2 linked regions of the Schizosaccharomyces pombe genome follow. The protein of the gene in region 1 binds, or shares a complex with, the protein of each later gene. Each region holds a gene or a part of one and is shown on either strand. Other genes may lie near its edges.

The links.
Region 2: yip11 (region 1) and gem8 share a complex: the UniProt entries of both Schizosaccharomyces pombe proteins name them as parts of the core SMN complex.

What each region holds. Positions count from the first base shown.
Region 1 is NC_003424.3:4,903,537-4,908,141, reverse strand, and holds yip11 (SMN complex subunit Yip11/Gem2), read left to right. Parts: upstream 1-1,747; coding exon 1,748-1,914; exon of another isoform or gene 1,915-2,019; coding exon 2,020-2,368; exon of another isoform or gene 2,369-2,442; coding exon 2,443-2,634; 3' UTR 2,635-3,921; downstream 3,922-4,605. Other genes in the region: rsm22-cox11 tandem protein cox1102, read right to left, coding at 1-1,164; bud20 (zinc finger ribosome biogenesis protein), read left to right, coding at 3,966-4,042, 4,102-4,399. UniProt on the Schizosaccharomyces pombe protein: The SMN complex catalyzes the assembly of small nuclear ribonucleoproteins (snRNPs), the building blocks of the spliceosome, and thereby plays an important role in the splicing of cellular pre-mRNAs.
Region 2 is NC_003423.3:2,289,836-2,292,981, forward strand, and holds gem8 (protein gem8), read right to left. Parts: upstream 1,506-3,146; 5' UTR 1,469-1,505; coding exon 968-1,468; 3' UTR 760-967; downstream 1-759. Other genes in the region: Rieske iron-sulfur protein, ubiquinol-cytochrome-c reductase complex subunit 5, Rip1, read right to left, coding at 1-223; cyclophilin family peptidyl-prolyl cis-trans isomerase Cyp7, read left to right, coding at 1,743-1,748, 1,789-1,817, 1,860-1,964, 2,055-3,146. UniProt on the Schizosaccharomyces pombe protein: The SMN complex catalyzes the assembly of small nuclear ribonucleoproteins (snRNPs), the building blocks of the spliceosome, and thereby plays an important role in the splicing of cellular pre-mRNAs.

The sequences.
Region 1 (4,605 bases):
TGTGGTATTATTAAGCGGTCTAGTTATACCCTTTTGAATAACAACATAACTGTAATGAGAGCGATCCGAGGATCGACGATGAGAACGAGGGACATATAGACGGGAAAATGGGGATAGGAAAAAATGTTGTTTGAAAGAACAAATATTTGCTCTTACCCCATTTTCTATATCAATGGGGCAGCGACCATCGTGGGGACAGGGTGCTACAATATGGGCATTGAATTGTTTATCAGAAGTATTTTTACTTTTTTGCAATAGAAATGTTCTAGCTCTTTGAATCAAACTAAAGCCACGCTTTGTGCCTCGCTCGCAGAGCACCAAAAGACCACCATCATTTGACACGAGACTCCAAAGCGAACGAAGATAATCAAAGAGTTCTTTCTCCGATTTCATTTCAAGAAGCTTGTTAGATGCAATAACTAGAGTGTATGAATCCTTTTTACCCAATGGTAGACGGTTAAGCGTAACAGGGCTAGTTGGATTCGGCGAAGTTGACGGGTAAATGTTATGGTGAATATCATATATGATTTTTTTCAAAAATGGGTTCTCCTCAACAATTGAAACTGAATTAGGTGTGGGAAAGACTGAATAACTAGCTAGAGCACCAATACCTGGACCTTTACCGCAATCCAGTATATGTTGAGACTTGCAAGACACATCACTGTTTACAATTTTCAAGTCAGTCAATACGCTGTATAGAGAAGCATATTGATACGGCATAGACTGATGAATATAAGCTAAAACTTGGGGATCTGTCATAGTCCGAGTAGATTCATCTTTGAATGGCGCAGACAATGGAAGCTGAGATTCCGTAGCCAAATCTTTTTTAATATCATTAATAAATTTTTTAATTTGTCCTTTTTCGCTCTTTTTCAATAAATCGTCCACATATAGATTAAATTTTGTATGCAAACTAATATCACCACTTTTCTTTTGATCCTTTACCAAAAAGTCGAGTAAACTGGAAGCTTCTGGACGATGTGAAGAGATCAATTCGTTTTTATAATCAGAAAAGTTGTTTTGAACAGCTTGAAAATTTGCATTATACCACCTAATGGTAGTGGTTGTTCCATATGGTATGAGACATCGCTGATTTTGAAAAGTAAAGCAATTCCGTAAATTATAAAGAAACAGAATTTTATATCTGCATGTTAGAATGGGCATATGTGCTGCTCAAAACACCAATTCACCAATGAACAATGGGATTTGGGGATAAAGCACTGATCTGTATATTGTGTAGAGTAAGTGCCTGATTAAGTGGCCGCAGATGGTGTTACTTGCGTTGACAGAAGAATGAATAGTACAATTTCCTACATATCTATATGTTTTATGTTTATTAAATTAGTTCAAGGATAGGCAATTCTGTCTGAGTGAATATTCTCCCAGTTTTAGCTTCTTATACACTTCAAAAAAATGCAAAACTTTGAACTTCTTTGAAAATAAGAACAAGTAATAAATTTTATGATAGTAAAGGAATTATCAAGAAATAGCTAAAATTAGTTTTAGCATTACACTTGATCAAGATAGACTCTTCACATTGATAGTTCTACAGATACCTCTTTAACCTTACCATTCTATTATACTAGGGTAATCTTCGATTTACGAAACATTCCTTGTTAACTAACTACAAACGAAAAGTTGCCGGAAAAAAACAGCCTACATTCCTTGAGTATTTTCATGAAAATTCGGTAATTCTTTTCCATTTGGTTTATATGAGAAGTTTGCAATTGTACAATAATAATTCAAAATGCCCTCGAAAAGAAAAAGAAATCCTTTACAATATCAGACTTCAGGATCATTAGATGAGGAAACAAATCAACGCAGCGCTTTTCCACAAATCGACAACAATAGTGCTTCAGAATCTTTGGAATATGATATACCACTTGATGGTTTAGATTATTTAGCAACTGTGAGGTACGAACATTTATATATGAATTTTTGTGAAAATCGAAATTTGCAACATGAATGCTTTAATCTAATCATTGTAACAATAATTGGGCTTTTTACTGACAAGTTCAGAGAAGAAGCTCGCAAGCTAGTTCCATTTGTAGCGGCGCGTCGTGAGCCTGAAACAAGAGAAACCATTCCTCTTCGCAAATTGGAAATCGAGGCCGGCAAAAAAAGCTTTGACCCGTTTTTACGATACTTACTAAACATAATTGATAAAGAAGGGGAAAGGCTTGAGCAATATATGGAATCTTCTTCATTGGACGCATCTATTTTACCTAAAAATTTACAACAATGGCGTGTATATATTGAGCATAAAGCTCCTTGTTGGGCCATATTAGCAGTGGTTGATTTGGCAACTGTTTTGGAGATCCTAGAAAGCTTGTCCAGCTGGCTTGAAAAGGACGCAATTGATTTACAGGTTGGTAACAAGGATCTCATGCTACTTTGCTGGTGTATTTTTGTTCATTCTAAAATTTGCTAACATTTTTCTAGAGTCAATGGATTTTTTGCTTTTGTTATAAACTTCCTGAGCTTTTGAATGGAGAAGATATATCGACCCTACGTTCAGTACTCAAGTCTTTACGAAGTACGCATACTTCTTTTCCTGCTCTGCAGATGTCAGCATCTGCCCTTCAAGCAGTCTTAGTTTATCGATATGGACAAAAAGATCTCTTTCAAACATAGAGTCTATAAATCTTGGTCGAAAAAAATTTAGGTACACATGTTCATATAGCATACGTTTGTTTATAGGGAAAAAATTAAAATTGATAGCTTGTTTTAAATATGTTTTTAGGATATTATTACTTTTTTGAATGAAAACATATGCTACACGGATATGCTGGGCTTTGCATCTTTGAACATGTGATTAAGCAAGCTTGGAGATAGCTGCAATAAACAATTTGCCTATTACAAATCGATAGATATATTTTAAAAAAACACGTTTGAATTGAGATAGGCAAAGTTATTTGTTTATTGATTCACATTTTCATTTTACAAAAAATGGCTTACTATTTGTTTAGTACGTGCATTCGTTTTGCTGTCTGCATACTTGTCGAATCGAGGGTTTCAATTATGTTATTACATGATAACTAGCAACTTTCTTTAATTCGCGCCCCATCTTACGAAATTAACTAATAAATTTTTACTGTCTTTTTCGACCGAGTGATTTTTTACCCATATGAGGTTTTTCAAATTCAAAACTAATTGAACATTGCAATTATTCTTTGGGAAAAAACAAAAGTCAAATAAAGATAAAATAAAAAAGAAATAATTACAACCTCACTGCCAAGAACCCCTTCGTGGTTAATTGAATCTTTTGAGTTCGAGCAATCAAGCTCCTTTTGTAAAACTAAATGTCACTAAAATTGCTCACACTTCAGTATAGCAGTCTAAATGGAGAGCTCAATTTTTTCCTTGCTGATAAGCGGACTCTGATCTCGCTACGTGAATACTTTCTTTCCTTCGACTAAACGTCAACTTGTCGAGACTTTGATGAAATAGTGGCAGTTAAAGCCAGAAAGCTACTGAATGTTAATTCATTTCTTCTATAGTTGCCATGTACTAAGAATCACGCCTAAAGCAATTTTCCCTAATAAATTCCGATGCTAAACATCCCTTAAATTACAAAGTTTTGTCAAACGATGGAGCAATCGTCGCTTAAAAAGCGCAATTTCAAAGGCATGCATTTCAACTTGCTTTGACCATGCTCTCCCAAATTTTGAACGAATATTTATTTATTAAAAAATTTACGCTACTTGAGCTATTCAGAACAATCAATAATACATATCTAATACATTTCTCTTGCTTTTCAACTATATAACGAGGCTTTCCTTCTCGTTATTAAACTTATCGCAAACTACGATAGGAAAATAAGATTATTTGAGAATTATTTTTCACTATACGATATAGCACACATTACGCCGTTTGGATATTGAATGTGTTTACGCTTAAAAAAGTTTATCCTTTGCAACTAACATTGTAATTGTGGTAAACGGGTTTGTTTGAAGTGACGGACAATGGGAAGAGTTGCCAGAAAAAGAAAGCATCATAGCAATGGAAATCATGCTTTGTTTAGAACTCGTGTTTATGGGAGGTATGCAAATTTCATGGTCATTCAATCATCGTTTGGTAAATTAACAATTGGACAAATAGAGACTTAGATCAGATTCACAATGACTTAACAGAGTCTGAGAAATTTGATAAATTACCTATAGATCCGGATTTGCCAGGTTTAGGTCAACATTATTGCATTGAATGTGCACGGTACTTTGACTCGTCTCAAGCATTGCTGGTGCATAAGAAGGGAAAGGTTCACAAACGAAGGTTAAAAAATTTGCGTGAAGAGCCGTATACACAAGAAGAAGCAGAAGCTGCGGTGAATATTGGACAGCCAAAACAGAGTGTAGCTTCCAAGCTTGCTGACAATAGTAACGTTGTCATGGCGGACTAAACTAGAGACACATTTACGAATGCTAAGTTAGTCAGCACTTTTGCTTTTGTTCCATATTCGTAGCGCATGCTCTTTATTTAAACAGATTTTTATATGTCTCATTCTCATTTATTCTGCTATATTATCATTAGCAGCGTTTATTGGTAATTTTAGTTGCATCCATGTTTGGATTACAAATTTACAACTAATACCTTACCATTGGTTAC
Region 2 (3,146 bases), on another chromosome or scaffold:
TGCCTACCATGGCATAAGATATAACACGAGAACGATCACCAGTGCTCTTTGTTTGATACTCCGAAAAGTCTGGCATTTCCGGAGAGTCAGTATATGTACGAATAGAGGTAAATTTTGGGATGGTCATCATTGAGCCCTTCAACGACGAAGCAGTGCTTGAAACGGGAAGCAACCGTCTTAACGAAGATGCTAACGACTTAGAAATAAATTGCTTGGCCAGCATTTTTACAACGTTTTAAAGAGAAACAGGTTGTTGAAATATTCGGTGGGTAGCGGTTGGGGAAGAAACGTCAAGCTGCCTCTGGTTTAAAAATGGCGGCGTTTGTGGGTGCTGTGATTTGCTAAGAAGGTTAGTTGTATTTACCGAATTCACCGATTGATGAAACTACATATCCGAAGTTCTCCGAAAAATAACGAAGTACACAATAAAAAATTAACATAATTTTACAGCTACTTTTAACGATCAGTACAGTATAGTGCTAGACTGTGCAGTACATATATCATCACGAATCGAAAATCCTATATCTTTCAAATTCCAATATTATGGTACGCTAGAGATCATTTTGTTTTATCAGATATAATTTTCCAGTCTATTTTACTAGGTTCCGTATAAGAACATAGCTGGATTTACGTTCTTCCGTCCAGCTATAAACTATTTGGAGATTATAATATTATCCAATATTTAGATGTTTACAGTAGTATCATTCATCACTTTACAAGGTACAGCACCTGCATAAAACAATACAACAGTATTAGATTGAAAATTATCGTATTCTTTCACTAGCCTTAATTATTTTAAGGAATTGGTATATATCATTAATCATAGTTCAATGTAGAAGAAATGCAATATACTTATGTATAATGTATTCATGAAGATTGGTGACATTTATTGAATATTAAGCGTATCCTTCATTAATATGCAGGAAATTTTTCTACTCTATTGAACATCATCAATTCATAAAACGTTCTATCCTCGTATTGGTGTTGCCGGCCAATATTTGATAGGTAATGCAGTAAACTTGCGAAAAATATTATCAAGTATTTTTTCTTCCTCTAAAATTTCATAAGCCGAGTAATGGAACTGGTTTTGATATATTTCGATATCTTTCAATTCTTTTAATGAGATTGGTGTTTTTGGGTTGGTTTCTGGTTTGGAAGAAACCATTCTCTCCTTGTCCAGTGCTTTTTGTCTTAATTCTTTTTCTTTTAACAATTGCTCCTTCTCCTTTTTCCACATTAACTCCCTTTTTTCCGATTCACGGAACCAAAGAATTTGCTCATCTGTTAACGTTCGTATAGTCCCATCAGGATAGCGCTCTACACTTTGTGTATACTCAACGTTTGCACTTTCTGAATTTCCCCCACGATCGTTTTGCGCGAAAGCAACATTCCATAGGTTTACTGCTTTTGCATTAAAATGCTCATCATGGAATTTCTGTAAGTCTCCTTCTGTAATTTCAGAACTCATTAAAAGTTCCGTGGTTTTACACAATATTGGATTCAGTAAGGATTACTTTGCTAGTTGTAACAAGTTGCGATGAAATCAATTTGATGAACGAGCAAAGCTACGCTAGAACATTTAATGAATCACCCAAATTAAAATACTGTATCGTAGTGAATTTGATAACCCAATTAAAGCAAAACAAGGTAATACGTTAGGATTATACTAACAACGCAAACTTACAAGATGAGTAGTTTCTTTAAGAATTTAGCGATCCTTAATATTTGATGTACTTTATGGAATGGCCGTAAGTATATTTTTCTTGCTCCCTTCGACTAATCTCTCAGACTTTGACCAACTTGGAGCCTTTGGCAACGTATGTTTTTCAGATTTCCAGTTACTTTTACTAACATTATAGGGGGACTGTCATCCTTAAAACTACTCGCGGCGATATCCAGATAGAACTTTGGTGCAAAGAAGTGCCGAAGGCCTGTAGAAACTTTATACAGTTATGCTTGGAAGGGTAAGTTAAATCGTTGATGAGCAACGTTGTAGTCCCAAATGTTGCAACATTAAACTGCTTCGGGTTTACAAATATACTAATTAAATACAGTTATTACGATGGAACCATTGTTCATAGAGTTGTACCAGAGTTTTTGATACAGGGTGGAGATCCTACTGGCACTGGAATGGGTGGTGAATCTATATATGGTGAACCTTTTGCTGTAGAAACACATCCTAGGTTACGGTTTATAAGAAGAGGATTAGTGGGAATGGCATGTACTGAAAATGAGGGAAACAACTCTCAATTTTTTATCACCTTAGGTCCAACACCTGAATGGAATGGCAAGCAAACTCTATTTGGACGTGTTGTAGGGGATACCATTTACAATGTAGTAAGGATATCTGAGTTAGAGTTAGATGCCAACCAACGACCTGTTTTTCCCCCAAAAATAATTTCAACAGAGGTAATTGACAATTATTTTACTGACATAAAACCTCGTTCAACTAAAGAAGAAAGAGAGAAAATTGCCAATGAGCTAGCCCACCAGGAAAAACAGAAAGAAAGAAACAAATTATTGAAATCCGGACGACGAAATAAAGCAGTTCTCAGTTTTGGCGATGAAGTCGATATGCCTATTGTAAAAAAGCCGCTCAGGCAGAAAACGCCAGTATCCAGATCATCTGATACTACGACTGAGTTAAGTAAAGATTTGATTTCATCTTCATCCTCAATTCACAGTACTTACTCGTCTGCCCAAACTGGATTGACCTCTGCTAAAGTCTCTTCCGATGAATATGCTAGGCAAGTAGACACTTTAGATACAAAGTTAAATTCTTCCTCTAAGTCCAAGGTACAAGAAGAAATTTCCCGTTTGAAGTCTGAACTTCGTGACTTAGAAAAAAGTGGTGGCTCTTCAAACTCGAAACCCGTGGTTGTACGTCCTAAAAAACGGAACATCTTGACTGAGGAACTTGAAAAGTATAAAAAATCCAAAAAAGTTGTCTTAGGGAAGCGAAAAAACTTGGAGAATGACGAAGAGTCGACCCTTCGAGCACTTTCATCATTTCAAAGCAAGATTCGAAATGCAGAAGATGAAGATGTCATGGATAGTCAATATGGTAGCAAAATAGAAGACACACCTTGCAGCTTACACAATGTTCCTGGTTGCTTTTCATGTTTTGATAGGCTTGGCGAAAAAAA